Diceros bicornis minor: one gene and its partner. The main gene of each other region encodes a partner of the protein of the gene in region 2 in a complex. Links are inferred from orthologs where the notes say so. Each region holds a gene or a part of one and is shown on either strand. Other genes may lie near its edges. The genes, in order: PTPN1 and SRC.

Evidence for each region.
Region 1: the proteins of SRC (region 2) and PTPN1 are in contact, whole or in part, in a crystal structure (PDB 3ZMQ), measured with the Homo sapiens proteins. The link is inferred for Diceros bicornis minor from reciprocal best matches to the Homo sapiens genes SRC and PTPN1. Residues at the interface, in NP_005408.1 of Homo sapiens: Glu527, Gln529, Tyr530, Gln531, Pro532; in NP_002818.1 of Homo sapiens: Arg45, Tyr46, Arg47, Asp48, Val49, Asp181, Phe182, Ser216, Ala217, Gly218, Ile219, Gly220, Arg221, Ser222, Gln262.

The regions. Positions count from the first base shown.
Region 1 is NC_080758.1:11,634,572-11,650,362, forward strand, and holds the start of PTPN1 (tyrosine-protein phosphatase non-receptor type 1), read right to left. Parts: upstream 6,775-15,791; 5' UTR 6,658-6,774; coding exon of another isoform or gene 6,595-6,657; intron 1-6,594. UniProt on the Homo sapiens protein: Tyrosine-protein phosphatase which acts as a regulator of endoplasmic reticulum unfolded protein response. Mediates dephosphorylation of EIF2AK3/PERK; inactivating the protein kinase activity of EIF2AK3/PERK.
Region 2 is NC_080758.1:22,732,946-22,748,232, forward strand, and holds the start of SRC (proto-oncogene tyrosine-protein kinase Src), read right to left. Parts: upstream 6,542-15,287; 5' UTR 6,361-6,541; intron 1-6,360. UniProt on the Homo sapiens protein: Non-receptor protein tyrosine kinase which is activated following engagement of many different classes of cellular receptors including immune response receptors, integrins and other adhesion receptors, receptor protein tyrosine kinases, G protein-coupled receptors as well as cytokine receptors.

The DNA of each region.
Region 1 (15,791 bases), about 11 Mb from region 2:
ACAGACCTTAAGCGTCACTTTGCTAAAGAAGCCATGTTTACTTTGTGAGTCCATAATGCAGAACCAATTTCTTGCAGCACCAATTCTAAGTACCACGGGGTATCCATAAAATTTTACTGCCTTGGTAGAATCATGAGCATTCAGAACTGCAAAGTGAATCATATCACACATTTAAAAAAAAATACTGAAAATCATTCATCAGTAGTTATAATTTTGTCTGCAGTGTGACCTGTACCACATCCCAAAGATCAACTGATTTGGGGGGGCCAGATTTTCTTTGGCTATTTATTTCAGGGAAAAAATAATCTTCCACGTGAAATGGTCTTGTTTCCAGTTTTCAGACATGCAAAACTTACAAACTGCCAGTAAGATACTCGTGATTCTGTCAAGCTGCCTTGAAGGAGAGGGCAGCAGCTAATGAACTATGAAGCCCACTTCTAAAAAGTAAAGCATTATTTCAAATACTGGAGACTTAGGTACTTTCTTCTCAAACATGGCAGCTGTGTAAACTATTATACTATTCAAATGAAGTTTAGACCAGATGTAGGTTTCTTTCTAAAATTACAACATAAAGGGCAGCTACTCTTCACGTACCTAGCTGGGGCTGAATCTTTCGTAAATTCTCAAGAATCAGTTCCTCTATCTTTTACAGGAAAAACCACCCAATTGCTACTTAGAGAAAAACTGCAAGCGTAACTCCTATGTCAGTGCTACTCATTTTCCCACATTACTATATCAAATGAACCCTACTTATTAAAAATGTTTAATTTGGGGAAATAAAACTCTTGGGAAAAAAAGACTCACTTCTTTTGAATCTTTCACTATACTCACAAAACTCCTATAAATTTTTGAGCCTAACTGCACCCACTGACACCCACACACCTTACAAAACTGAGTAACCACTGCAGCGTTTACAAAGATTCCTTCGGGCACATTAAATTCTCTCGTGAGTACATTAAAGACTTTTATTACTTGACATGAACTTAGTGATCAGTTAGTCCAGGAGCATTTTTACAAAGGAAAGGACTGAAGCCAAAGAAAGGAAGGGACCTCGTCAGCGTTGCTGGCATTAGAGCTGAGACCAGAGAAAACGCAAAAGATTAAACTACTCTCTTGGCCCAAAGGGTGGTCTGATCAAAGGCCAAAAATGTCTGCCTTTACCATTTATACTTTGAAAAAAATCACAGACTTGGTAAGGGTTGTTACTTTATTAAGAACCATATTTTATATCCCAGTCAAAAAATGTTTTACAAACAAATGACATGCAAAGCCCTTCTAGAAGGCATGTGGGAACAGGTCAAGAGTGATGAGGAGAGAGCAATTCAATAATTCTTAGAGAGACAGCGATATCACCTCTCAGTTTCCTAAGTTCACCTCAGGCCAAGTACAAATTTGCTGTTAAATTTAAAGTTCCTGAGAAACAAACTTGTGGTATCAACTTCTACTGGGTAAGACTCAAGCCTTTCTTCCAGGCCACCACAGTAGGCAATACTAAGTCGCCTCATCAGGCCATGGCTCAAAATGTGGTGGTTCTCTCCCAGAGGGACCTCTGCTGTAAGTACTAAAGCAGCCTGATCTAACTATTTCTACCACTCCTTCCCACCCAGAATGGGAGCTGGGAACCATGTCTTGTTCATCTTTGTATTGTCAGGGGCTGGCAAAGTGCTGTCAACCAACTCAACCCCAACGTTTCTTCCGCACTGTGTGCCAAGGGTAGAGGACGCCATGGTGAACGAGAAAGATGAAAGAGCTGACCCCAACAGCTGGGACTCAAGAGAAGACAGGCCTGGATACAAAGAAACAGCTCCCACCAGAGCAGCGCTTTAGGAGAGACACGCACGCAGCCGTACGGAAACACACAGGTGAGAGAGCAAAAATCTAGTGCGAGGAGGCACACATCTGAGCTGGGAGAAGCAAGCCAGATGAGTGGGAAAGGCAGCCTAGAGAAAGTGCTGAGCCAAGGTACAGAGGAATGAAAGGATCAGTCTGGAGAACGCTGCTGGTGTGGCCAGAACAGAAGGTACAGAAAAGGGGATGGCTGAACCCAGCTGCCATGCCCAGGGGTCTGAATCTTACGGGTACTATGACAGCACTAGGAGTAGTTACACAGAGGAGGAAGAGGCTCAGGTCTGTTTTAAGGGAATTACTCTAGTGATCATGTGAAGCATATACATAGCAGGGTTGAGGGGAGATGTGGACAGACTGCTGAGGGGCCATATTAGTACGTTACTGGTTTCACTCATTTCTGTGGGGTGAAACTAGGAACAACAGCAGTGTTACAGGAGTATTATAGGCAAAACTGGAGAACCCAGACCACGGGGGTAGTAGAAAGGATGCCACGGTGACCAATCAATGAAATGTGGCAGAGGGAATCAAGAACTGGCCAAGTCCCCAGCACTCCTCGATATTCAAAACTGCACATCAAATGACTGGTACCAAACTACACTGTCTTGGAAACAACGACCCCGCTAGACTTCCCATCTTGCTGAATGTGGGCAGTATAAAGAAGCACACCCAGCCCATTTGTCAGTATTATGAGTTGGTCACCATGAACGAATTAACCTCAACACTGGGGGGAGGAATGCCAGCTCATGCAAAGCATAAATGGGCCCAGGGAGGCTTACGAGAAAAGTACCTGCAATTAAAAGTACAGCATAGGACAAAACTGCCAAAAGCATTCTTCAATCCAAAAGATCAGAAAACAGACAATTCAAAAAAAAAAAAAAAGAAAAGAAAAGAACGAAAGAAAGAAAAGAGTTATTTCATCAGTTTATAGTCTGAAAAACCCCTACAGGAAATTTTTAAATTTGTTTCTATCATGAAATTCAGTATACATTGTTACATTATTAAATACCAGATAATTTTATAGGTTTTGGAGGAGCTATTCATGCTGAAAAGCAAAATGCAGTGGGGAGGCCATGGAGCCCAATGAGAGATAACTAGTAACTGAAAATCGTTTGCGCTACCATTATCCCCCAGCCGGCTTTTGTTTCTGTACTTCCAAAAATACCAGAGTATTCCTATAAATATGCCAGTGCTGGCAAACAAACAATGATAGAAAAAGTTCTTCCCTCCACCATTTCTACTTCTGCTCCAGTTAATTTAATATGAGTGCAGACAATTACAAAGGTCTTTACACCATTTCCAACGTGATGATCAGACACCTAAATTTAGTTCACTCAAACCAGGGCTAAAGAAGAACATTTAGATCTAGTGGGTCACCCAAGATGACTAGAACTTCCCAATCTCTCCATGTCATTTCCGTTTGTCTTTTTTTTTTTCAAGTACAGTGAGTCACAGTGTATAGATCTTTCTCCTCTGCACAAAACAGTTTTCCTCTGTAGAGAATGTTATTTAAATAAACATCATAGGGATATTTTAATATTCATCTTGCTGGACTATAACAACATGAGCTGTATGCAGCAGTGAGGAATAACTACTGTTATAACATGGCTTCAACCTAGTCAGGCATCACATCGTATTTCATGATAAAAGCAGCTACAAAAACAAATGTCAAGGGGAAGAGTGGCCCATTTTACAAAGCCTGCCTCTAACACGGAATAAATCTTGTCCTCAAGTCACGAGCTATTGTTACAATCTCCTTTATCTGAAAACAATCAAATCATTCACAACAAAAAGTAGCGAACAGAACAGTGTCAGAGAAATCAAAGAATCAGAGATGAGAGAAACAGAAAAACACCTGACCCCAACTGTAAATTACAAATGGAGGGCAGCTTCTGAGCCGTTTTCATTCATTCCGGCCCCCTCTTCTCTCATTTTAGCTGCAAAAACCAATCCCTTTTCCCGGTCTGTGTTCTCTCCTCTTTCGGACAATCAAACCAACGCAAGCTCCAGCTCACTAAATATTACTTCCACTTTTCAAACCAGACATACAATTGTTTAAATGACAGAAAACAATTTTAAAGCCATCTACATATGCCAACGCTGACTTTTTATAGACCTGAATGCTTATTAGTATCTATGCTGTTTATTAGCATTAACAATTAAAATTAAGACAATTAAAACTTATGCTCACTTTATCAAAGTGAGCGAGCGTAAGTGGAGACTCTTTGTCTGAAACATTTGTTTTCTAAGCTACCACATTCCTCAGCATTTGAAAGTCTACTTCACCCTTTGTTCTTTTCCCAATTGTTTCCAAGTTTTTGCATCTTTTTGTTCTAGATAGAAGTACAGTGAGAAATAATTGCACTGCCTTGTTTACAAAATTTTAGGCAAAAATTACATGTTATTCTTCTAATAACAATAGACTAAGCAAGCTCAAAATGACTTTGTATAAGTCTGCCCACATTGTGACATGCTAAAAAATATTAATTTTTTTAACTGCCATTTTCTACCACCCATAAACACATTTCTTTGAATTCTTGAAAAATAACAGTTTTGGTAAATTGACACACACTTTGGAAACTATGCCACTTTAGACTCAAGGTCATTTGAACTCTACGTTTCTAAAAATGCCACAGTTGCCCAATAAAGAGCCACTTTTAAAGTCAAAAAGGAGAAGAGCTTCTCATTGCAATTTTAGAAAAAAAAATATCTGTACAGTAGAGATGAGAAAGCCCATAGTGGACAATTCTCTAAGATCAAAAGAAACCACTTGCAGGAACGTGGCAATGCATTAAGAAGCTGGGGAAATCTCAACACACAGCAAACTGACTAACTCCTTGGTAGACAGACAAGAACAAGGAGGGAAATTAACTGAAGACCAACAGGCTTCTCGCTAGCGGCATGCTTCACACAGTTTTAACAATGCTTGGGTGACAGGTAGACTCTGCCCTAAAATACTAAGAAATCAAATTCAACCAAGAACTTTTTATAATATGAATTTGTTGTTGCCAACTCAATGTCCCCATGCCTCCTGGAAGCCACCTCCACTTGTGATGGGGTAAATCATAATCAACTCGAACACTTTAGACCCACAATTTTTTCATTTAAAGCCACTTGAGACTCCACTGCATTAAACTGGATGCAGAAAATTTATCTACACATTCTCAAAGTCACTAGCGGAATTCATTCAACTAACTCAGAGAGACTAGATCCAGAATACAAATTTTATATATTGATCGATCGTACTTATACAGATTACAGTGGTTATAAATATTAGTCTATCAGAAGTTAATACACATTACAGTCCAAGTAAAAAGAATCCTGTCAAATAAGCTTGATGCAAATCCACATGAAACCCAGCCTGCCAAAAACAAGGCTTTTGTTAGTCAAGCATACCAAAGACCGGCTTAAAGCTTTTTTCCTTTTTAAGTGGAGCTCAAAATAGATTTTAACACTACCAGCTGATGGATCTCACAATTTGCCTTTTGAGCCTATAAGCTAAAAGCAGAATAAACTGCCTTCTCCCTTTACACAAGTAACAAAATCTCTCTATTCTGCAGATCGCCCATTTAAAATACCGAGTGTGGTTTTGGTTAATCTTCACAACCCCCGCAATGACATTTAATCGGGAGCACATATTTTCTTTAGAGGACTTAACTGCTTGTGAAAGCAGATCTCTTCGCGTCTTTAATCTGATGTTGTAGAGACATGTGAGAAATCCTATCTTCCTAACTTTTTATTTATGAACCCCCATAACCCACAAGGAGATGAAGACTAGAAAGACACAATCATCTCAGCCATGACCAAAAGACAAGATGCTCACCGGGGAGAGATGCTATTTTTAGATGGGGCAAAAACGTTAACCTTCCCTGTTGCCTGCCTGAAAGGGAAATACCGTGGCCCCAGTGGAGTGGGTACCGCAGGCCTTCTGGCCGGAAAGCTCTCTAGCCTGATATGCTCAGGGCTTGCTGCAGCTCCTCATTCAGCTCACGAGCAAACGTCCCTTCCTCTGACAGGTCTTCCCTGACGCCCCTCTCCGAGGCAGCCCACCTTCTATGCAGTCACTCTCCACCCCATTATGATGTTTCGTTTCCTTCCCAGCACTTGTCACCACCTGAAATTACCTGCTGACGTGTTTCACTGCCCTATTCAACTCTAAGCTCCAGGGGGGAGGGGGTCTTGTCCTCTTGTCCGGCAAACATTACCTCCAGCGCCTAGGCAGTGCCCAGCACGGAACAGGCAGGCCAATTCACCTCCATGAAATGAATGAACAGGAAGGGGGAAGGGACTGTCATCCCCGGGACTCGACGCACAGAGACTAGAGAAGAGGAAACGTGAAGGAGGGAGGAGAGAAAGCCTTTCCCCCAGGGAGACAAAGGAAAAGAGGACGAGGTGGTCCAGCCCAGGAAAGGAAGTGGTGGGGGTGTTCCAGCGACCCCAGGGGACAAAGGGTGGACAGGCGGGGGGCGGGGGTCAGGGTGCGAGGACCGGCGCCGAGAGCACCGGCGGGCGGCCGCCGGGCCCGAGGGGTCACCGGGCGGGGGATACGGGGTGGGTGGGGGCTCGGGGGGCCGCGAGACGCAGGCCCGCCGGGGACAAAGGGAGAGGGGGCCGGCCCCCCGCCGTCGGGGCGAACCCTCGGGCGGCCGGCCGAGGCGGAGGGCGGCCCGGGGCAGAGCGGGGCCGGGGTCTCGCGGAAGGTCCGCGCGGCCTAAGCGAAGGGCCGCCGCGCGCCGGGCGCTCCCGCACCTGGTAAATGGCCGCCCAGCTCCCGGCCTTGTCGATCTGCTCGAACTCCTTCTCCATCTCCATGACGGGCCAGGGCGGCTGCCGCGCCTCCTCCTCGGCCCGCTGCGCCGTCCGCCGCTCTAGGCCGCGTCGCCCTCTCGGCCCCGAGCGCACCGCGCCTCCACTCCCGCCGCTACCGCCGCCCTAGCCGCCGCTGCTTCTTCATGTCAACCCGGCAGCCGGAAGTACGCACCGCGCTGCCGCGGGCTCCGCCCCTCAAGCGGGAGGACCAATCAGCGCTCGAGAATGTCGGCAAGCACTTCCGCGGGGCGGGGCCGGGGGAGGTGCCGAGGGAAGTAGCCGCAGCCCCGCGAGACATCTCGCAGCGTGCGCTGCCTTCTCCCCTGCGGGACTCCCGGCATGGGCGTGGCGGGCGCCGTTGTCTAGGCAACCCCCGGGAGCCCCGCCCACGGCGGGTGGGTTTGCAATGGCCCGGCGGATCTTGAGTTCAAGCCTCGATGCCGCCCGTTGAGTCACACAGTGACCTTGAAGTGGTCATGCATGTTTCCTGCAGCCCCAGGGCACTGGCCTCAGTGCTCCATGCTGGAGTATGGGCGGAGGGCTGCATGCTCCACTTCCTGCCTCCCGCCTCTGGTTAGATATCTGCCCTTTTTTCGTGCTTCACCAGGCTGCTGGGGAAGGCCTATTGCTCTCTGAGGGTACTGTCCTTGCGTGAAACGGAAGATTTCCCTTGGGGGTCTCCTATCCTGGGCGCCATAGGAGAGAATGGATGGGGGTCTTGGGATGATTTTCAATATTTCCCAGAGTAGCAAGGAAATCCTGCTCAGACTGGACTCAGTAGAGCACCCATTCCATGGTGCATCAGTGTGTTCAATAACGCAGATTTCTGGACCCACTTCCAAAGGGTTCAGATACCAGGAATCTGTATTTTTCACCAGCAACCCCAGCTAATTCTATACCTGTGGTCCTTGAAGCACATATGAGAAGGGCTGATCAGGTTGCCTTTCTGCGGGTTCCACCTCAAGCCATCCAGCTCCCAGCCTGGCACATGGTATGGAGATTGTGAACTCCATCACCTCAGAGAACCTAGAAGACCGAATCTCTGTTCACTGTTCCCGTCTCAAGCCTGCCCAGAGCAGCTGCCTGGGGTCACTGGTTGAATTCCAGCTCATTCCTTGAGTGCTTTTGGCAGGCACTGTGCATGGCATTCTGTGTACACATTCTCATTTAACCTCTCCAACAACCCTACAATACAGGCACTATTACTGTTCCCATCATATAGATGAGGAAACTGAGGCACAGGGAGGCAAAAATCACTGTCCAGAGTAGCACTGGTCATTGGTGTGGAAGCCAGCATTCTAATCTAGTCTCCAGGGGAGTGCTTGCTTTGGAGCCAGGCTGCCTGGGTCCAAATTCCAGCTTTACTACATACTAGCTGTGCAACCTTGGGCAAATTACTTGACCTCTCTCTGCCTCTCTTCTCTCCTTTGTAAAATGAGGATAATAGAAGTACCTGCCTCGTAGGGGCAATGTGAAGATTGAAGGGGTAAATATAATGCTTTTAGTATAGTGAGTAGATCAATAAATAGCCCTCATTATTATACACCTTCGAATAATTGCAAATGGAGAGGTAAATAAATTCTTATTGAATAAATGCAATTGGTTTGATAGGCAATGTCTTTAGAAACTGAGTATTCCATGGTGGGGAAATTAACAGAAGCCCATTCTGGTGAAAAGTTTGGGAAACCCACACTTGGAAGCTGCCTAATTTATGCCTTAGCCATGTTAGTGACTCTCCAGGCTGATGTTCTCTTCCTGCCCTGGTTTATCTGAGTGCTAGTTTGTCTGAACTCACAGGGCTGAGAGCTCCTTGGGGGAAGAGAGAACAGGGTGGGCTCATTCGTATCTCTGTGGGCTGAGCTAAGTCAGTAAATAAATAAAATGCCCATCTGGAGCCCAAGTGGCCCTTAGGCCCGCAGGGAGGGCCACCCAGTGACTGCAGTGGCCTTTGAGTGGGGCCAAGGCTATGCACAGGATCTTGGTGGGGGAGAGGGGGCTACAGGAGGCTAAAGCAGGGTTCAAGTTTGGGCTGTTTAGTGACTGTGTTAGTTTCCTAGGGCTGCTGTAACAAATCACCACAAATTTGTTGGCTTAAAACAACAGAAATGTATTTGCAAAGTTCTGGCGGCCAGAAGTCTGAGATCGAGGTGTTGACAGGGCCACACTCACTCTGAAGGCTCTCGGAGAGAATCCTTCTTGAAGCTCCTGGTGGCTCGTGGCAGCATCACTCCAGGTTTTTCATGGTTTTTGCGTGGTTTTCTTCTCTGTGTCTTTTCCATCTGTCGGATTTCCCTCAGCCTCACTCTTATAAGGATGCCTGTCATTGAATTCAAGACCCACCCTAATCCAGGATGATTTGGCTGTCCCAGGTAATCCAAGATGCTCTCATTTTGAGATCCTTAAATTAATTACATCTGCAAAGAGACGTTTTCTGAATAAGGTCATGTTCCAGGTTCTGAGGGTGAAGACTTGGACATACCTTTTTGGGGGGCCCCCACTCAACCTACTATAGTGGCAGAGGGTGAAACTTTGTCACAAATACTGATTCTGAAGGAAACCCCTAATTTCAGGTATCAGCTAATCACCATTATATCCGTTCTTCACATAGCAGCAGCCAGAGAGAGATTTTAATATTTGGATCATGAAACTCTTCTATGTAAAATCCTCCAATAGTTTCCTATCTTTTTTAGAATGAAACCCAAATAAAGTCCTGACCCTGGCCCATAAGACCCATGTGACCTTGTCCCTGCCCACCTCCTCAAACTCTCTTCTCTTCTTGTACTCCACTCCAGTCCAGTCCTCTAATGTTTCAAACTAGTTTCCACCTCAGGACCTTTGCACCAGCTGTTCCCTCTACCTGTTCCTGTCTAGCCTCCGGACCATTCTTGCAGATCTTCTCACCTTTCAGGTTTCGGGTCAAATGTCACCTCTACCGACAGATCTTCTGACCACCCTCTCTACAATAGCCCCCAGTCACTCTCTACCACAGACCTTGTTTTTTGCATCATTGCACTCTTCTCTGTCTAAAATTCCCGTTTGTTTATTTGTTGGCTTGCTCCCTTTTCCTGCCCCCCATTTTAATGTTCCATGAGGGCAGGGCCCTCAACTTCTCGTCCGTGTTCCAAGCACCTGATATTTGGCCTGGAGGAGGGGCCCGAGGTGCTGGGATCCTCCTTGACTCTCCGAGGCTTAGCTTTCATCTGGAAACCTCTGCCGGTTCCCAGCCAAGGCTTGGCCTAGAACCAGCCAAGCCCTGGTATCCTCCGGAGATGTGATAGTGATGATTGGGAATCTGTCGGTGATGACTGGTTAGAAAATAAACAAATGGCAGTGTGTCGTGATAGCTAAAACCTTTTCCTGGCAGGCGTGCCTGAGGATGGTCTCACGCGGCTTCTCAGGCCTTCCCTTCAAGGATTTAGCTAATGGAGGAAATCAATGACTCATTAAACTTTTAAAAATGTCCGAAAGAGTTGTTGGTGGAGAGGGATGGCTGTTTACCAAGCCTCCAATGGATCATCAACTCCTAACTCAGCAGTGTCAGCAAGTTTCCCAGTAAAATTCGTCCCAGTCTCTTTTCTGGGAGACAGAGCAGTGTTGAGAGCTGGGGAGGCAGAGCCAGAGCAAACTGGTCCCTGATGAACTGTCACTTCCGCAGGGAGGCCCCTCCTGACGCCTCCTAATAAACAGAGCCCTGTCACTCCGTCCTTTTTCTGCTTAGCACTTATCAGGCATTGGAGGATGTACCTTCTACCCCTGTTACCACGTGGTGTTATGTAATGTGTTTGTTTCATGTGTTTATCGGCCGTCTCCACTACTAAATGTAAAGTGCGTGAAGAAAAGAAACTAAGTCGATTTGGATCAATGCTGTCTTCCTTGAGCTACGAGTCATTCCCAGATGAGACCATGAGTCCTTGGAAGGTTCCAGAAACCAAGATGACAGGGCTTCTTTCCACCTCGTGGACTCAGCTCGAGGGTCCTCATCATCCAGCTCCCTCTGTCCACCAGGGAGGACACACAGCCAGGAAGGGAAGTGGCCCTTCCCTCTGAGACTCACACACGCTCTCCTAGCAGAGTTTGGGCGCCTGGACTGGTTGGCTGATGTGGGGTCAGCCAGAGACATTCCCTGAGCTGGGATAACTCGCCCGGGACCACGCCCAGGCCCACAGCACCGGAAACTGGGTTCACAGAGCTTCCGCCTCCAGCCACGGCAGCGCTAGGCAACAGTGTTATCTTGCATTTTACATTTCCCAGCAGCCCTGCAAGCCTCGTGTTATCCCATTTTGCAGATGAGAAAATGGCTGCTCAGAGAGGATAAGGAAGTGAAATCAATGAACATCCAAATACAGAGTGCTGGCCTGAGCACAGCAGGTAAAAGCTTCTAAACCCTGTGTCTGCTACTTACTAGCTTTCAGGCCTTGGGCAAGTTGCTTAACCTCCTGGGGTCAGCCCGGATGGTTTCCAGTAAGAAAAACCCAACTGAAAGTGGCTTTCACAAAATGGGGAATTTATGGCCTCACGAAACTGGGAAGTCCAATAGGGGCTTGCTTCAGGCACAGCCGTATCCAGGGGCTCCAACCGTGTCATCATGACTCTCTCTCTCTCCAGCTCTATCTGCTTCCCCCATGTGTTAGATTCACTCTCAGGCAGGCTTTCCTCCTGAGGGAACCAGGATGGCCCCAGCAGTGCCAGGCTCACATCCTGCCAGCTCAGCAACCCCAAAGAAAAGAGGGCTTCTTTTCCCTGGTGGTCCCAGCACAAGTCCTGGCCTTCAATCTCATTGGTCCAGTTGAGTCTCAGAAGCCATCTCTAAGCCAGTCTCTCTGTCCAAGGGAAATATTGGCAAATGAAGAAACTGAGGCCCAGAGAGGTCAATTTCTTAACCAAGGTCACACAGCTATAAGTAGTGAAGTGGGATTTAGATATAGGCAGTCTGGTTTCAGCATCTGTGCTCTCAGCCGTGATGCTCTCCAGTCTCTCCAAGAACTCTCATGAGCTCTAAACAAATAATAACAACAATGAAGAGATAATAATAGTAAACATAATTATTACTTACAACAACATGGTGAAGCCTGTACTATTATTATCCCACATTTGAACTGAGGCACAGAAAGGTTAAGCAACTTGCCTCTGGTCACACAGCTAAGAAATGGTGGAACCAGGCTTTGAACCCAGTTTAGCTCTAGGGGCTGCTTCCAGTTCTGACATTCTACTAAGACGTACGAGTTCTGCAGTGTTTCAGAACTCTCAGGAAGGTGAGCACCCCAGAAGATCCTCACTCGCATCCTCACTGGGTTCTTCCTCAGCCTTATGAAGACTCCCTCACCCCTCCACCCCCAGAGAATATTTTAGACTTTACTCCATCCACTAAATACATAAATCTAATACAGAGCTGCCTGTCCTGCAAGGGTGACTGCCCAGTGCGGGGAGGAGAAGGCGCCCAGGGGGAACTAGGAGGGTCACGTGTGTTCTGAGAAAGGAGGCTTAGAGGCCTGGGGAAAGGTTGGAGGAGGGAAGTTAGATCCAAGATGGAAACTAGACCTGGCCCCATGCTCTCAGCAAAGCAGGAGTCTGGGAGGGTTTCAGAGGTCACTGTGATGCCCTCCAGTTTAGAGGGTTGGAGGTAGGGGGACACTCCTATCGCACACATGGTGGTTCTGGGTGCAGGTCCTGGAATCTGGCTGACTTGGGCTGTGTGTCCTTGGACAGGTTTCTTACCCTCTCTGATCTTTACATTACCTTTTACATTAAGGCAGGGATGTGCTGGTTGGATGAGATGGTGTCTCAGCATGGTCTCTAGTTCATGGCAAGGACCTAATAAATGTGGCTGTTGTTATTAAGGTTGTGTAGGTTGCTGAGTGGAAAAAGCAGGCTCCCATCTGCCTCCAGATGTTTTCGTAGTATATGTTGCAACCTGCTGTTTTGCATCTCTAGTTTTTGTCCTGCTGGTGGAGGTGAGCAGGGCAAGCTTCGGGGGCGTGTGTGCAATCTGGCCAGGTGCACCGGGCCCTGCGCTCAGAGGGGCCTTGCACTTGGTTTAATGCTCTGCTGTTGCTGTCTTGAAATTCTTAATAATTTTTGAACAAGGGGCCCTGCATATTCATGTTGCACTGGACTTTGCAAATTATGTAGGCAGTTCTGGAGACGAGGTCTAGATTTTCAAATTCTTGAAGGGGGGTAGAAGCAGCTGCTGTCTTTGAAGTTGGAAATGGTCTTTCTCCTTTATTCTGGGAGGAACCACTGCTCTCGGGGGAAGTCCTAACACAGTGACCTTCTCCAGATACAGATTCCCTGTATTGAGTTGTTCACTCTTGTTTAGTAATAATAATTGTAATAGCTACATGTATTGGGTGTTTACTGTGAGCGAGGCTCTCTGCTAACTAGCACTTTACCTCCATAATCTCCCTAGATCGTCCCAACAACCTTGTGAGAGGGTCTGTCATTAACCTCATTTCATAGATGAGGAAACAGCGTGGTTATGTAACTTGTCTACTACCACACAGCACTGTCGGCATAATGTCTGTAAGTTGAGTGTGTCTGTAGCAGGACGGTAGCCTTTTAGAGAAAAGAAGTTAACTTCCAAGGTTACGTTTAGATAGAAGTGTTCCTGGTAGTCCTTGGAAGAGATGTGTATCTTTTTGATCAAGAATTTGCTCCCGTAGTTTTTGTATTTGAAGATAGAAATGGTGTTCCATTTGAGACCCAACTGTGTGGGGAGCGGTGGTGGGGGGCGGCTGGCCTGAAATATTCTTCCCCTTGTGCTGGAGGGAGACCCATGGAGAGGACCCACACTTGGAGTGAACAAGAGCAGAGGGACCCAGGCTTGGGGGAATGTGCTTACGACTCTCATGCTGGCCTCCCCTGGGCCGTGGGGAACCACACGCTGGATGGAGCGTTCCTCTGAAGGACCGGATAGTCCCACTGCTTGTATCTGGGGAAGGCGAGGAAGAAGAGGGCTCTAAATTCTAAAGAGAAAGGGCAAGAAGCCTCCCTCCAGGGAAGGTAGGCTGGCCCCCACAACATGGTGGCAGGCTGGAGAGAAAGGAGGGTGAAGACCAGCATGAGGGACAGCGCAATGCAGGTACCTGGGCCCTAGAAGCTATTTATTTACAATTTCATTTTGCGTTTTCCTTCTCTTCATTGTTATCCCCATAGCTTCAGTAAACTTTTGTTCCCTGCTATGGGCTCATCCTAGCTTTGAGGTAATATATTTAGTGTCCCCAATATCAATTCTCCTCTTCTTTCATAGAAATAGGATTATAGCTGTGCACATGGCTGCTCAGCTAAAGACTATATTTCCCAGCTTCCCTTGCAGCTAGATATGCCATGTGACTATATGCTGGCCAATAAGATGTGGGTGGTGGTGATGTGGTCCACTTCTAAATCATGACTTCAGATGCCCAGGGGGTGCTGCAGGGGGGTGCTGGGAGGGAAAAGTTCTTTCTTCCACCTTTTCCTCCATCCTGTTGCCTGGAATGGGACATAGTGGGCTCCAGTTTGAACTGTGCAGACAAGCACAACATGCAAGGGATGGAAAAGAACAAGATAGGAGGTGCCTGGGACCTGGACCCTGTGGATCTGCCCCATCATCCACAGACTGTCACATGAGAGAGACATAAGCAGGGCTGGCATTCAGCTGCTATGCACGGGTCCAGTCATCCTGGTTGCTTATAGGCGTCATTCTGATTGTTAGACATAAACTGCTGCTTTGTGTAAGCCACTGTTGGTCAGAGTCTCAGTCACAGAAATCGAACCTATATTCTAATTAACCCAGCCATGTTTTGGGGGGATGTTAAGGAAGAGGGCTGGGTACCTGCTCCAGCCAAGACGGTGTTGGGAGCAGGAGCAGCATCTGGTGCTGGCAGTAAAGAGTGGCAGACAAGGGCAGGAGAAGTCCTGAGAGAGATGGCTCACTACAGATGCCAAGCAGCCCCAAGAATGGTCCATGGGACGTGCGAACAACCCCCATTCTGAGTAATATCCTCCAGAAAGAACCTGATAAAAGCTAGAGTCATGGGGCCCTATTATTAGTCAGATATTAAAGGGGAAGCTGGAAATTTTGGGGACGGCTGGGGTTATAAACAGTGCCTAGTGAATGTTAATTCCCTTCTGAGGCAAATACTTTTGGTTGCCAGATACTTTTGGTTACTCATCACTCCCTTCCACCTTCTTCTTGGCTGGCAGAGCACACCCATTATAACAGAACTGGAAAGGTGAGATGTTCCTCTTCCCAGCCAGTTTTGCAGTTAGAGCATGGACGGGTGACACAATTCCCGCCACTGGGACGTGGAGCAGAGTCTGTCCAGGAGCTTCTGGGAAAGGGGTCTCCCTCTCGTAAGAGAGACACACGGGAGGGAATGTGTCTAGAGAGCGCCTGGGTCTTTGGTAACGTCATTGAGTTGTTGAACTGTGCCTGGAGCCACCTAGCTCTGGAATTCTTTGTGAAGATCATAAACGTTTTTATTGTTGAAACCACTTTGGGTTGGCTTTTTTGTTACTCGCAGCCAAAAGCATGCTGTTACACTGTCTTTGTCTTCTGTCTCTACCTTCCTCGGCTATGGGTCTCAAATTCAGCCACATCCCTTCCCCAGAGCATCAGCTGCTTTGGAAGTCAAGATCTTTTGGAAACCACCTGCGTCAACTTGTCACCACTGTCCTCCTAAATAAGAATCTCCCTCGTCTCTCCTTACTTCTTCATTTCGGGAGCGAGATCCGTATCTGGGCGGCATGAAAGCAGAACATCAGCCTTCGTGCACACCTCTGTTTCAGTGTGGATCCATTCTCTTGTGTTGGTCTTATCTGTCCACATGTGAGTCTCTCAGCTGACCAGGTGCCCCTCACAGGCCTGGACTGTATAATATTCATCTTTGTATATCCCCAGGGTAGCTCAGGACCTGGGCAAGAGGAGGTGCTCCCTGAATGCTTGTTGAATGAATATATGAAAGAATGAATCATCCAGACCCAATTTTATTACCTCTCTAAACAGAGCCAGTTTCCTCCCATGCCCTCCTACGTTACTCTAGGACAAGACAGTTCTTGCCGAGATAGAGCCAGGAAGAAGAAGAAGTTAATCCAATTCCCAGTTCCAAAGCAGTTTCTAATCCTTCTGTCCTTAAATTGCCTTTAATCCACCCACTGCC
Region 2 (15,287 bases):
CCCATCCCGGCCTCTCTCTGAGCCTCGGCTGCCTCTCAAAAAACCCGAAGGCCGTACAGCTCCTGCCTCTCAGCCCAGGCAGGCAAAGACGCCAAGCACCCAGCGCTAAATCGGTGGCCACCTTGGAGAGATGGACGTGTTCAGCGAGGGGGCCTTGAATGCCAGGGCACTGGGAGGACTTGACAGGTCATAGGCCGGCAAGGGCTGAGGCGGGAGCTGGGCTCGGGGAGGCTGGATGGAGCTGGTGGCTTCCAATCAATCCGGTCACCAAACTTGTCTGTCTCTAGTTAACCTTCCCTCCAGCTCCGCCCCACAGGACAAGCCCGCCACGGACACAGGTGTCCAGTCCCAGCCCCGGGGATTCCCATGTCAATTGGGCTGCTGAGGTCAGAATTCCCGCCTCGTCAGGGAATCCCCTTCCCAATCACAGGCACTCAGAAACACAAAGCACATACTGCGTGCAGGCCCTGCACCAGAGCAGACACACGTTAGTCCATCTGATCCTCACATCACCCTGTCACAGCTGGTCCCAGCACTGTCATCTCCATTCCACAACTGGGGAAACTAAGGCTCAGAGCAATCATTTTCCCACAGACACAGCAAACAAGTGCCAGAGCCAGGATTCAAACCCAGAACCAACTGGCTCCCAAGGCCTTGCTATTTCCACTCCCTTTATGCCATGACCATCCATTGAGCACCCCGATATGCCAATCCTGGGAGCTGGAGGTTCCCTGCACGATCCCAGAACCCCAGATCCAAGTGGAGATCCCTCAGTCAGAGCTGGAAGCCAGAGAGTCAGGATCACATGCCCCAGCAACACGCCACCCTAAGCCTGGGGAAAGACTTCAGCCCAGCTGGTGCACACGCGCTGGGAGTGAGACGCCACAAATCACCCAGAAGCCAGAAGGCTGGGCTCACACTTCACGGTGCTGGGTGACCGTGCCCTAGCCCTCGGCCTCTCTGAGCCTCAGTTCCTCTTCTACGTCATAAAACAAAAGTTCTGCCCACCCATGATGGCGCAAGGGATGGAATGGGTCACCCTGCTATGACCTGGCTGGGGAGGGCGCAACGTGAGGACATCGACATCAGAGTAAAAGTCAAGGCCGCAGATTTGGACAAAGCAGCCCAAGAGAAGATAATCAGACCTTGACGGGGGAGGTCGAGCTTCCCTCCCCAGCACTGGTGTCTGCCCGTCCTGGCCTCGCAGCCCAGCGGGTCTGAGGACCCAAAGGACCCATTCCCACAGTCTCTCAACAGCATCTCCACCCAACACGGGCATCAGAGAGGACTCAGCTGGCCCGCCCCCGGAAGACTTCCCAGCCAGGATTCCTGTCACAGAGCCTCTGGGAGGGAAGAGCCCTCACCGTACAGACCAGGAAACTGAGGACCAAAGCAGGAAGACAGTGGCCCAGATCATCCAGCTTCTCCTCCCCTCTGGCTTCACTTCATTGTAGAACTTCTCTGGGTAGTTCCAAGGGGAGGAGAGGGACTGGGGTCCATGTTGGGGGGAACGTTATGTGCTCAAGGTCTCACAGCAAGGACAGGGGAAATGGGGGTTCCGGCTTCCAGCACTGGGATATTCCCCAGTCATCTACCCCACCTGGCTGTCCTGTGGGAAGGGCAGGCTGGCTGGGTGGGGAGAGCCCTGGATCAAAAGACAAGAAATGTGCATTTCTCGCCCAGCTTAGATAACATGACCTGGGTCTTTCTGGCCTCAGTCTCCCATGTGTGAAAAGAGCAGGTCAGAATACATCAGGAATGACAAACTCACAGCCCTCATACAACACTCCCTAATCCTCTGCCCGTGGCATACATTACTAGTCTATCACATCACTCTTTCCCATGAAGCCAAGACTGGGCCTCAGAGTGTCTCAACACAGCAATCCAGGTCTGGGGGATATGAGCCCTGGGCCATCCCTAGACTGGGTAATGTCTGAGCCCCCACGAGGGAGGGGAAGGGAGAAAGAGGTAACATTTCCTGAGCATCCAGTAGATTCAAACTGCTGAGAGACATCAGCTGATTTTATCCTCACAATGAGGTATGCAGAGGCTCAGGTTCAGAGGGCCTTAGTGCTCTGCCTTTGGACACACAGCTGGCAACGGGACCTTGAACACAGGGGAGCCGTCTCCTGGGGCACCTTCCCCAGAAACAGGGACCCAGAGCCAGCCAGCATGAGGGCCTGAGGAACAGCTTCACCCCACCCTCCCCTTGGCCCTACTAGGTGCAAGTCCTATGCCCATCTGACAGCTTTCGAAACCGAGTCACAGGAAGGGGGTGTCAGCCGCCAGAGAAGGAAGGACTCAAGTCCATGTCTGGTCCTTGTCCGCCCTATTTATCGAGTTAACGTGCGCTAAACGCTGTACTTCAGTGCTCTCGGGACATCCTGGGAATCGTGACTCATATTATCCCACTTCATAGATGAGGAAACTGAGGCGCCCCAGGGGAAGTGCTCCCCCAGGGGCTCAAGTGGAAACCTGAGCAGTTCACCTCGGAGATAAGGGGGTAGGAGCAGCGGAGGGGAAGTAAAGGGCTGCGGGAACCCAATGGAAGATAGAGGCGCGGGGGCCACGTGACCGAGGCAGGAATGAGGCTCCGGCAAGAGGCCCAGAGCAGGGGGGAGGCCCTTTGAAGGAGCTCTAAGGCCTGCAGGGACACGAGCCCTGCAGAGCCCTCCAGCCTAGGTTCACCTTGTCACTCAGCAACCAGGAGACCCTAGGCAAGTGGCTTCTCCTCTCTGGGTCTTAGTGTTTACATCTGGAAAATGGACCAATCTCACCTAAGGCAGGCTTCCAAAAGCTGGGCTAAGCTAGACCACAGGGCTCTCCCCAGTGCAGCCTCCTCGCACAGAGAGGGCAGAGCAGGACTCACATCGCCCAGCACGTGGACGCCTTGCTGCCAGCATCCTTTCCTAGGCCAGTCCTGCCCAGAGCAGCCCCTTCAGGCTCAGTGAGATCACCCACTCAAAGCCTTCACCACACAGCTGGTGAGGCCAGACCCATGGGGCCGATCGACCTGCCCAGTGCAGCACCACACAAGGCAGGCCCCATTTCCTGAGGACCTACTGGTGCCAGGCACTGGGCATACAGCCCTGCTTCAGCCCTCACCTGACAGGGAAATATCGTCCCCATTTTCAAGACAAGGAAACTAAGTCTCAGAAAGATACAGGGAATGACCCAAAGACACACAAGTGGAGACCGTCAGAACGTGAACCTAGACCTGTCTGACTCGTGAGCCCTGACGGTACTTTGGTCTCCAGCTGACCGCCTCCCCCCGCCCCCACCACTCCCCACCTCACTCCCAGCCTCCAGCCACCCTGCATTGCACTTCCCCAACCCCGGGCTCTCACCCTCTCCTGCCTTCCTGCCAGTGAACTCCTATTCTACTTTCAAAGCCCAGCCTTAAATGCCCTTCCTCTTGACACCTGATCTAGGCCCCTGCAGAATACTTGGAGTCCAGCCCACAGATCTATTTCCACCAGATGTGTTGGACAGCTCTGTACTCAAGCCTCCAGCATGGGGCTGTTCACAGAGCGGACACTAATCAGCCCCTTGTGTGAAGATGAAGGCCAAACTCCTCCCCAAGGCCCACACAGCCCACAGGGTCCAGCCCTGCTGTGAACACCCCTCATTTCACCTCTCACCCCCTCCCCCTAATTCTCTGTGCTCCAGATTCACAGGCTTTCCCATTGTTCCTCCACAACAGCACACACTCCCCACCTCAGGGCCTTTGCACATGCCATCCCCTCTGCCTGGTAAGCCCTGCCCCTAGCTCCATGCCTGGCCAACTCCTACGTGCTTCCTTCAAGATTCCTCTGCATCCCACGCCTCTCCCTCTGAGCCCTTATCACATCTGCGATTATATATTCATTTATTTGGCAACTTGTTTGCTACTTGGCTCACCCTCTAGACTCAAACTTCTGGAAGGCCAGGGACGTTCACCATTCCTCTGCAAGGACCCACCCAGGCTGACCACTCCCCACAACCCCAGGGAAGTGTCTGAACAGAAGGGAAGAGAGAGCACTCTCGTCCCTCCTTTGTTGAGCAAACTGCTGCCCCCCCTCAGCACCACCTCCTGGAAGCCTCCGGATGCCTCCCCACAGCTCCCACTGCTCACCCCATCACCACACTGCTGGCCTGAGTTCAAAGCTCCTAGGACACAGTAAGTGCTCAATACAAGGTCACGGAGGCTTGCATTTAGGCAGGTTTGGGGAAATGGGGTCAATTGAGGACCAGGGGGTTGGGGGTTCTGTCGGCATGTCATGGAGCCATCTCCTCCCTGGATCCTGGGGCTTGGAGGAGCCAGACAACCCCTGGCCCCCGAGGTCACCATCAGGGAAGAAGCAAAAGCAGAAACTGGCTGTGAGCTGGGGATAATTCATGCTCCAGGAAGAGGCTAGGGGAGAGGAGGAGAGAGCTGGGGGGCCTTCCTGGAAGAGGTGGGCCTTAAACTAAATCTTAAAGAACAAGAGCAGATAAGCAGCTCCTACATGAGAGGACACTCCGGCAGGGACATCTTCAGGAGCAAAGGCCCAGGGGCCACACAGGAGGGCCTGGGCAGGCAGTCAGCTGAGAGAGGTGACACACTGTAAATCACTTCCTTGGGTGGAAAGACCACATCACCATCTCACCAAATGGGCCTCGTGGCTCCACGCGATCACTCATCGGGGTAGTCTTTTCCGACACTGCCGTGTGCCTGGTCTTGTCCTGAGAAACGCCTGCTCCTCTATCACCCCTGGAAGGGGTCGAGGGCAGCCAGACGGGGGGCTCCAAGGTCCAGGTTCTGATTCCAGCTTCAAACTGTGTGGCCTCGGGGCAGTCACTTCACCTCTCTGTGCCTCAGTTTCTCCATCAGCAAAATGAGGATAAACAAGAGCCCCTACCTCAGAGGAGGCGCTCAGTAGAGGTCAGCAGCTGTCATTACCACGGGCCCATTTTACACTTAACGAAACGAAGGCCAGAGGGAACAGTGAGCTGCCTGAGCTCACACAGCTGCTGGGTGGCAGGCCTGTGCCAGCGTGGTCTCTTTCTCAAGGGGTTATTCTTTCTCAAGAGGCGGCTTTTCAGGCACAAATCCACCCTCTCCTGGAGATGAGCCCCACTAGGCCAGCAACCTCGCCTCCACCCGTTCAGGCAATTCATCCAGGGAAGCGCTCATTTATTGAGCACCTACTACATACCAAGCCAAAACACACAGATTCCTCCCCTGAGGATTCCCATTCCACATATGCAGACTCAGAGGGCAGTCCCTTGGCCCAGGTCGCCCAGTGAGACGAGAAGCCTAGGTGTCCTGTCTCCCCAGCCAGAGGGCTGAGAAGAGGGTCAGCTACAGAGCCAGCCTGGCCCACTGAAACCAAGTCTGACCTCAGCTGCACTGTGGCTGGGCCTGGCCTCCCCCCAGGGGACACAGGGACCACTGCCCCCATTGTACAGAGTCCCTGAGGCTCTCACCCAGGCCCACACACACATGGTCTGTCCACTCTCAAGTCAGCCTGGAGACCCCAGAGGCTGAACTGGTACCCCACAGGTGAGCCCTTTCTCTTCATGCCCATCCTTCCACCAGCCCAGTAATCCCAGCCAGGCCCACCTGCCACTGATGAGGACCTCCAGCTCAGAGAGAGCAGGCAGTTGTCCGAGGACACACAGCAGGGCAAGTGGTGGTCCTGTTGAGATTCAAACCCACTGCAACCCCAGCCCAGGCAGGCAGATGGACCGGGCTTGGTGGTGAGGGCCCAAAACTTTTGCCAACTTCTGAGCAGGCAGGCGGCTGGGCCTGCCCAGAAGCGAGGCTGGGGGCTGTAGGCAGCGGGGACCATGCAGCGTCTGGCCCAGTCCCTTCCAGGCCGGCGGCACCAGGCCCTAGTCGAAGCCCCACGAGGACAGGGTGGGCCTGGTGCCTGGCCGGGCGCCCCCAGCCAGGTACCCCCAGACCCACCCTGTCGGCCCCCCTCCACCTCCCATGCCGGGCCGGGGCGCCAGGCCGGGCAGCCGCGGCCAGAGGCGGCGCCGACCGGCTCAGATATCAGATTTGGCCTAGTGCTGGCCGGGGGCTCGGGCCCGGCTCGCTGCTTCTCAGGGGGCTCGCAGCGGGAGGGTGAGCCGGAGGGGGTCCCCGCGCCGACAGACCCCTGCGCCCCCGCCCAGCCCCCTCCTCCCGCGGCATCACAACAAAAGGCCGCGCCGGGCACGTCCCCGTGCGCCCGCCCAGCGCTCCGGGCTCGCGGCTCGGCCGGGGGTGCGGGTCGGAGGGTGCACGGAGCCCCCGCGGCCCGGCGATCCGAGGCCGGGGGGGGGGGGCCCCGCGCGGGGGCTCCCCCAGGCCGGCGGGGACTCGGCGCCCGCGGAGGGGCGGGGGGCGCTCACCTGGGCCGACGGGCGGGCGGGCGCACCGGCAGACAGACGCACGGGAGGGCGGCCCGCCGGACGGCCAGGGGGTCTGGCAGACGGCGGCCTGGCCGCTCCGGCTCCCAGGCCGGAATGGATTCCGGGCCGGGAAAGACAGATCGAGAGAGAAAGGGAGGAGGAGGAGGAGGCGGCGGCCCGGGGAGGGGAAGAGGAGGGAGGGAGCGCGCGCGCCGGGAGGAGGGGCACGGCAGGCCTCCGGGAGGAGGAGGAAGGAGGAAGCGCGCGGGGACGAATTCCCCGCCGGTGACCGGGAGGAGACCCGTGTGCGGGCCCCCCCACACTCGAGCCAGCGTCCGGGCGGGGCGGGGGATGGGGTGCGGAGGCTTGGGGCACAGAAACCCCGCCCCGTGAGAGCACCCCACCCTGCGGACCCCCGATCCGCCCTCAAACCAAAATGCCCTCCCTAACTCCCCCCAACCCACCTACCCTATTTACCCCAAATCCACCTCTCCTGCAATTAGTAGTAGTAATAATAATAACACCAGCACTAACGGAGCGCTCACTCCTTGCCAGGCGCCATGCTAAGTGGCTCAGGTCGACTTTTAAGATCTATTCCAAACAAGCAGCTGGGCTGGCCAGATGGTTATCTCCATTTTACAGATTGGGAAACTGTGGCACAGAGAAAGGGGTTACCTACAAGAAACAGGCTTTGGACTCTGGCCTTGACCTGAGTTTCACAAAGTGGGGACTGGGGCAGGAGGGACCATGTGGAGAGGAGCAATATTTATTTTAATAAGATATGTGTTCATTTCAATGTGTATAAAACACATAACTAAGGCTGCCCATCAGAAGTCATAGAGTTCCAGATATTCCCGCCTCAGAGGGGACTGCAGCAGGTATTCGGTGACAATTACACTTCCAAGTATATAAATAAAGAGGCGAAGCACATCTGGACGCGGGGGCGAGGGAGTATAGCAGAGAAAGGGGATGACCTGGAGGAAATGCTGCTGTAGGCCACAAAGCCTCCTCCACCACTGTCTGACCCCACCTTACCCCACCACCTCCAGGCCCAGGCTCCGGGGCTGCCCTGTTGGGGGCGGGCACCCCACCCTTGGCTTTTCACCTGTCCTCCTGGAATTATGGCACAGGGGAAGGTGGGCCTGAATCCAGCTTTAAATACCACCACCTGCCTCCACTTTCCTTCTCTGAAATTCTTCCATTTCACAGATGGGAAACTGAGGCCCAACCAGGCCAAATGGCACAAGGCTGGGCTTCTCCTCCTGAGAGGAGCTGGGAGGGGAACCCTAGAATGTGGGAGGCAAAGGCTCAGGGTACAATACAGCGTGCAGGAGTCCAGGAGTGAGCACCGCCTTGAGCCGGACTGATCTGGTTCTAATCTAGGCCAGCTGCCCCCCTGCTGCACCTCGTACGAGTCCATCAATTTCCCCAGCCCAGTCCCCTTGCCTATGAAACAGAGTGAACAAGCCACAGAGGACTCCTGGGAAGGTTAAACCCGACAAGTGTGAGGGTGGCTGAGGTTGTGCCCAACAAATGGTAGCTCTTACGGGTGGTAAACTGAGGCCGGAGGGAGAAGGGGCAGCTTGAAGCCCCACAGCAAGTCAGCGGCAGAGCCAGCACCAGAAGCCAGCCTGGGCTGGGGAAATGGCTGCACTTGTTGGCAAGGCTGGCTTAAAGATTAACCATGGCTTCCCAGGCTGGAGGAGCGGATTTCTCAGCCCTCGCTCACTCCTCACACGTGTCTGAAGGCCTTTCCTGGCCACACTGGGCCGGGTGGGCTGCTCACCCAGGGGTGTGCTGGGGCTGGCTGTTACCACTTGCAAGAGCAGACTGTGTTCATCTCTCCTCAACTCTCGGATCAATGATGTCACTTTGATAACTTGACATCAGCCACTGTAGGAGTATTTACACCTTGGAAATCAGCAAACACTACAAATCAAGGCTTTTTTTCCTTCCAAAGAGCTGGCTTTTAAATATTTACCAGCACATCACCAGATTCATCCCCAGGAGTTCAACTGAAAGTTCTGGGCCACGTCTAGAGCTGGGATGACAAAGAGCTTAAAAGCACAGACTTTGGACCCACAGACCTGGGTTAAGTCCCATCTCTGCCACTTCATGGATATGTGACCTTGAGCATGCCATTTCTCTGAGCCTCGGCCTGCCAACCTGCAAAATGGGCTAAAGACAGCACTTCCGTCAGAGGGCTCCCATGAGGATGAAATGAGGTGCTGCCAGCTCAGCACGTGTGGGCCTCACTATCCGTACCCTACACATTCTCTTGGAGGAGCAGGGACGACGGGGACAAGTCTTGGCTCTGGAAGGTGCAGCCTTCCCCCTGGAGCCACCACTGGCTTCGAGGGCTTGGCTTAGCCGCTGAGGTTCTCAGCGAGCACTTCAGGGAGACGTGGCCAGCACGATGGTTGGGAACGTTTGTTATTTTCAGCCACCCCTCTGGGCCATTGCTCAGGCTGTAACTCCCACCGTATCTCTAGCTTCCCAACCTTCTGTGGCCATCAGGTCCCTGAGTAAATTCCACCACCTCCAGGACATGCTTCCTGACAAACTCCTGATGAGGCACACCCCAAGTCCCTTCAGGGTGTGTCAGTCCCCACCCTTAGGGCAGGGACTGTGGCCTGGCCCGTGCCCAGCACAGAGCAGACACTGCCCAGTCGGCTGGGGAGAACACACTGATTAGGGATCCACATACAAGAGTTCAAGTTCCAACTCTTCCGTTCATTGACTGTGTGACCCTGCCCTCTCTGAGCCTCAATTTACTCATCAATAAAGTGGGGCCACAACCCCACCAACCTCCAGGATGATGTCGATGCGAGAGTTGCTGGTCTGGCCCGGTGGGTAAGTAAGGGACTCTGTGCATTATTTTGCTTAAAACATTGTTTGTTAGTAAAATAGCAACTCATTGCTTAATGCCTGCAAATCATTCATCGTCGTTAATGGAAGCAACTTATTGACCACCGACGGTATACACAGCCCTGTCTCAGGCCTGGAAGACTGAGAAGCACAATTTCCCAACCCAAAGCACCCACAGGTGACAGATGTTATTGATGTCAACATTGCTGAGATGGTGAGCACTGGTTGTACACAGATGTCTGTCTCCAGAAACCTCTTCTTCCCTCCTTCCCCCCACCTGGGTCAAAGCCACAACTAAGGGCAGGATGGAGCATGTGGGGCGAGGCCTGGCCCCTCAAGACTGGCAGCAGACCCACAGGTGAGAGCTTTCCCATGAACTAGGATCAGAGGCACTGCCCGCACCGCACCCCTGGGCCCTGGTGGCTCTGGCTCGATGGTGGCCTATTTGCTAACCCCACCCTGAGCCCAGCTCACCTTGGAGGAGCTGGACCCATCACAGGCACCCAGCGGGAAATTCCAGACCAGCTCTGTCATTCACCAGATGGTTTGCTGTGAGTTGTCTATTCGAAGCCACAGAATGATCTGGACTTCGGGCTACAGGATGAGGTGGAAGAGGGGGCAGGCTCCAGCTTGAGGCTGTGGAATGGGCTTGGCACCTCCCGTGGCACTGCACTTTACAGTTTACACAGAGACGTCCAGTTCCTCAGTGCATCAGCCCGATCTGGCCCTTGCCAGCTGCTCAGGCCTGTCTTGCAGGCCCTGGTCCCCTTCCCTCCTTGTCAAGCCCGCATCCTTGCTGTCCCTCCGTCACAGCAGCTCATTCCCGCCCAGAGGCCTCTGCACTTGCTGGTCCCTCTGCGTGGATGCTGTCTACCCCACAGCCCCTGGCTAAGCCTTACTCTTCCTTTCTCGGGTCAGTCAGTATTTACTGAGCATCTACTATGTGCTAGGGTCTGGGCTAGGTGCTAGGGGGACAGCAGTGAACAAACCAGGTCTGGTCTCTGCCTTAGAATTGCTCGCAGCCTGGAGGAGCAGGGAAGTGTGACCAGTGTGCTAGGCAGAGTGATGGGGCCAGCACCGGGGACTGGAGGGGCCCTAATTCACTATGTGTGTTGGAGAAAGGGGCTGGTGAAGGAAGGAGGTCGTCTACGGAGAGTGTAGAAGACTGCGGGGATGCTGGCAGGTGAAAATGGGACAGAGAGGGTATTCCAGGCAGAGGGAACAGCATGACCAAAGACACAGAGGCCTAAAATACTGCTGGGTTTGGAACTTGGACCAGTGCGGTGCTAATGGAGCACAGCACGATGGGCGGGCTGGTGTGGGGGGAATGAGGTGGGAAGGGTGGCTGGGGTGAGCCCTGAAGATCCCTGAATGCCAGGTTTGGCTTCTGTCCTGGAGGCAGTGGGGAGCCACGGAGCGTTGTGAGCAGAGAAGGGCCTGGGGATCTGTGCTGTCACTGGGTGGAGACAGGTGGGGCCAGGGAGGAGCAGTGTGGAGGCCTCTGCACTGACGGCAGCCCCGGCCGAGGACCAGCCGAGGCGGCGCCCCAGCTTACACTGGCGAGTGTGTGTGGGCACGTACCTATGTTCCAGGGAGCGAGGCCGAGCTGGCCCGGAGGCCGAAGACACAGGGCACTAGACGTGCGTTCCCTGGCCCCACGAGAGTCAGGAGGGGCTGGCAGCAGGTGAGCATGTTTCCTTCAGAGGCAGGTTCCTCCAGCATCCGCCCTCCAGGGAAGGGATGGAGACCGTGGGCACCCGAGCGGGTGGAGTCCAGGTGTGACCTGCAAATGGCGGGGTCAAGCACGAGTACTGGCCCACACGGCCAAAATCCTCAAGGCCTCCCCTTCTGAATTGCACAGCCAGTTCACAGATGGGAAGCCTGAGGCTTGAGTGCCCACTTCAGAATCTAGAGACAAAACAGGGGATGTCACAGGCATGTGACCTGCCCGCATGAAAGTAGGGGAGACACCCGGCCCCGCCAGGCTCACGTGACGGCCGAGCGCCATGAAACTCGGCCATTCATCACGTCACTCCCCTCAGGCCACAGTAGAGGCCCAGAGACAGACTCCGCCAAGCTCATACAGAGGCAAAGCCAGCCCCCCTCCAGCCCAGGCCTCCTTCCGCCATGTCTCAGAATGTTTGTGAGAAAAGATAAAAGAGGCCAGGGCCCTTGATCTGCCTGGCCTGGCAGGAGGGCAGAGGGCAGGGCGGAAATCTGCAGCCAGAGCTGTGACCCCTTGGATCAGAGGGGGCTGGAAACCCACTGAGCAGAGAGGAGACAGGCTGCGACAGGAGCGCTTCAAAGAACAACTGTAAAAATAATCATCACAGCAACAGCTCACAGCCACTGCGTGCGGGGTTTCCTGGGCAGTGCCCTGTCCTGAAGGCTCTGCGTGTGGCGTCTAGTTTATTCTTCACAGCAGCACGAGGTGGGAGCTATTTTATCCCCATTGGACAGATGCGGAAACTGAGGCGAGGTGGGCAACATGACACAGTGATGGGGGGCAGGACCTCGAATCCAAACCCAGGCAGAATTCAGCCCCTCCTGAGCCTGGCACTCAGGCGTCGCGGTTCTGTCCTGCCCTGCCCCTCTGTGAGCCATGGCCTTCACATATTTCACGTCCAAGGGAAAAGCAAGACCCACGGAGCCCAACCCGGCCCCTATCCCCACCCCTCCCCGAGCCTCGGCTTCTGCCTTGCAGAATGTCTCCATCTCCCACATTTCCCAGGCCTGTCGGGAAGATGGAATGTGGCAATGCTTTGTGGGAGGACTTTGAGAAGTAGATACTAAAGAAGAAAAAATGCTAACACTATACCCACCCTCCAGGAGGGGAGCAGAACCGCCCGCTCCTTAGGTGAGGGCTGCCATAGTGACCTCCTTCCAAAGAGGACGGCATGGGGCGGGGTGACTTCACAAAGTGGAGAGGCCTGACAGCCTGCCTCAGCCAGGTGACCAAGGTCAACGACAACAGTGGTAAGTCCTGGTGATGGTGCGTCCCCTTGACGTGATGTGATGAGAATGGCACTTCACCTGCGCGGTCTTCCTCCCCAGAACCCGTCATCCCGGTGTCATCGTGAGAAAAACATCAGACAAATTCCAGCAGAGAGACGTTCTACAGGACAGCTGACCAGCGCTGCTCAGAACTGTCAAGGTCAACAACAAGGAAAGTCTGAGAAACTGTCACAGCTAAGAGGAGCCTAAGGAGACATGAGGAAATGTACTGTGGCCTCTTGGATGGGATCCTGGATGTGAAAAGGGACGTCCAGGAAGAAACAAAGAAACTCTGAATAAAGTATGGACTTAAGTTAATAATATAACCATATTGGTTCATTAGTTCTGACACATGTACCGTACTGATGTAAGATGGTGATAATAGGGGAAACTGGTTGTGGGGTGTATGCTGTGTTATGTTCTGGAGCAAAGGACAGATTTTAGGACAGGCAGGAGGCCAAGAGAGCTGTCTCTAAACATTTCCTTCTAAAGCTGGGGAAACTGAGGACTGGAGAATGGAAGTGACTTGCCCAAGGTCCTACTGCAAGTTTATGACAGCCTGGACCAGGATCAAAGTTTCTTGACATCACAAGAATTTATTAAATGCTTACTGTATACAAGGCACCAGCCTAGGTCCACATCATGGTAAAAGCAGGTGGAGAGGTTCAAAGGCTTGTCCATGGGTCAGCCCCTCCTCTGGGCCAGGTGTCCAAGGACACAGATCCTGCCCGCTGGGGGCTCTCAAGCCAGTAGGGGAAACAGATGCTGAAACACCCTGAGCAGGAGAGCCAGAGAGCCACGAGCTTCTGGGTCCAGAAGAGCCAGTCCCACCATCTATAACCCATGTGACCCTGCTACGCGTCACTGTGCTGCCGGGTGAGATGGAGCTGGTGATGGTATGACTCTCGGTGATGCTGAGAGGACCCAGGGAAGTGTTGGGGCTGTGAGGCATCTAGCGCAGCTCCTGGTGCACTGAGTGCTCAGTGAACAGTGATTCTCTTTATTTATTTTTAAGTGCAGCCTGAGTCTGGAGCTCAGAGAAGGAGCTATCTGTTAGTTTGCCCTGGTAGGGGTTTCTTGGGGAGCTTCCCAGACAAGGGACATTCACTTGGGTCTTGAAGGATGGGAAGGAGTTTGCCAGGCAGGGAGGATGTGGAAGCTACAGCCCTGGCTTCCAGAATTCACGATCTGGCCTGGCAGAGAAGGAGACGCGTCAGGCCCCTCTCCCAGGGCATCTGCACGAGACGGGACTTCCCCATTTCCTGGCCTTGATGCCTCCTTCCTGGCCTCCGTGGGCTTTGGGGTTCACCATTGCCTGAGCTGAGGGCAGAGACAGCAGGCGATGGGCAAGGGTGGGGCGGGCGCCGGAGCCGAGGAACTCCAAGACTCGTCTGGAAATGAAACCAAGCCCTGCCTCCCACTCACCGGCTGAGTGTCGCTTATACAACTTCCTCCTTCTGTTCCTGTTCAGGAATTACCCAGGCAGGGCTCTGTGGTGGTTGGGGGGTTGCCCCAAAGGCTGGGCCAGGAGCTTCCGTGGGTCTACTCTGGCCACTCAGACTCCCAGACCCTGTGTCTGGTCGGTCTTCTCATTGTCCTGTTCCCGCCCTCCTCATAGCCTCTCTCCTTCCCACCTCCACACATCTCCCTACGCAGTACCCCCCGCGGTGTCCTCTCTCTCTGCTTGTCCAAACCACACTCGCCCTCCTCGGCCTACCCCAGGCCCCTCCTGGAAGCTTCCACAGAGACCTCTCCCCGTCCTGGCCTATCCATTCACACCTCCTGCATGGCAGGCCCTGTGCTGGGGTTGGGGACAGATGTAGCAGTGACCAAGACTGGCACAGCCCCTGTCCTTTGGAGCCTGGGCCTCTAACCTCTATGTCCTGTGCATCCCGCCTGCTTTGTCCACGCCCTGGGTGAGGAATCGGCAGCCAGGACCCAGTCTGGTGCAGCCTCTGAGCAGTGTGGCCTTGGGCAAGTCCTTTCCCCTCTCTGGCCAGAGCTGTTTCCATAGCTGCTGAGGGAAGAGGTTCAATGACATGTCCAGGGAGGCTGAAGGGAATGGGCAGGAGGGGTGGTGAGGATTGCCCCCACCTCACCCTGCTGACCCCAGTATAAAGCTTCCCTCCCAGTGGAACTGGTAAGATGCATACACAGGGCTTCAATTCATCAGAATTTCTGGGTGGAAATACAGGGGGCAAAAGGGGAGAACACCATGGTTAAGAGCACTGTGGAGACCTGGCTTTGAATCGTACCTCGATAGCTGTGTGGCCTCGGGCAAGTCATTGGACCCCGCTCACCCTCCCTTCTCTCATTTGTAAACTGGGGGTAACTGTACCCACCTCACATGGCTGTCTAGTGATTAGCATGACACGCATATGCGGGATGCTCAGTAAATGGATATTACTGTTTACTATTATTATTATTATTATTTCTGGTGCAGCCAACCTAAGATTCCATTAATAGAGTGGTCAACTATGGCAGCCTTAGAAATAACAACGTAGATCTATACATTTTGCCATGGAAAGAGTTCATGCTATATTAGTAAATTAAAATGTTATAGTATTAACAACGTAATCCCATTTCTGTTAAAAAAAAAAAGTGGGCATAGGAAAAATAAAAGGGATAAACACTGCCATGTTTCTAGCACTCGTCCCAGGGATGGGGGGATCACAGATGAGTTTAATAATTTTTTCTTTTGTGCTTGTCTTTATTTTTTAAGTTTTGTTTCTATTTTTAATTTTTTCTCTTTTATTTTATTTTATTTATTTTTCCCCCCAAAGCCCCAGTAGACAGTTGTATGTCATAGCTGCACATCCTTCTAGTTGCTGTATGTGGGACGCGGCGTCAGCATGGCCAGAGAAGCGGTGCGTCGGTGCGCACCCGGGATCCGAACCTGGGCCGCCAGCAGCAGAGCGCGCGCACTTAACCACTAAGCCATGGGGCCGGCCCAGTTTTCTTTCTATTTTTAAATGTGCTCATGTTACTGAGGCAATAGAAAGTAGTATAGATTATTTTAAAAGTGCCGTCACAGCTCCCTCTGATGACAGTGGGTCTTTGCTCCC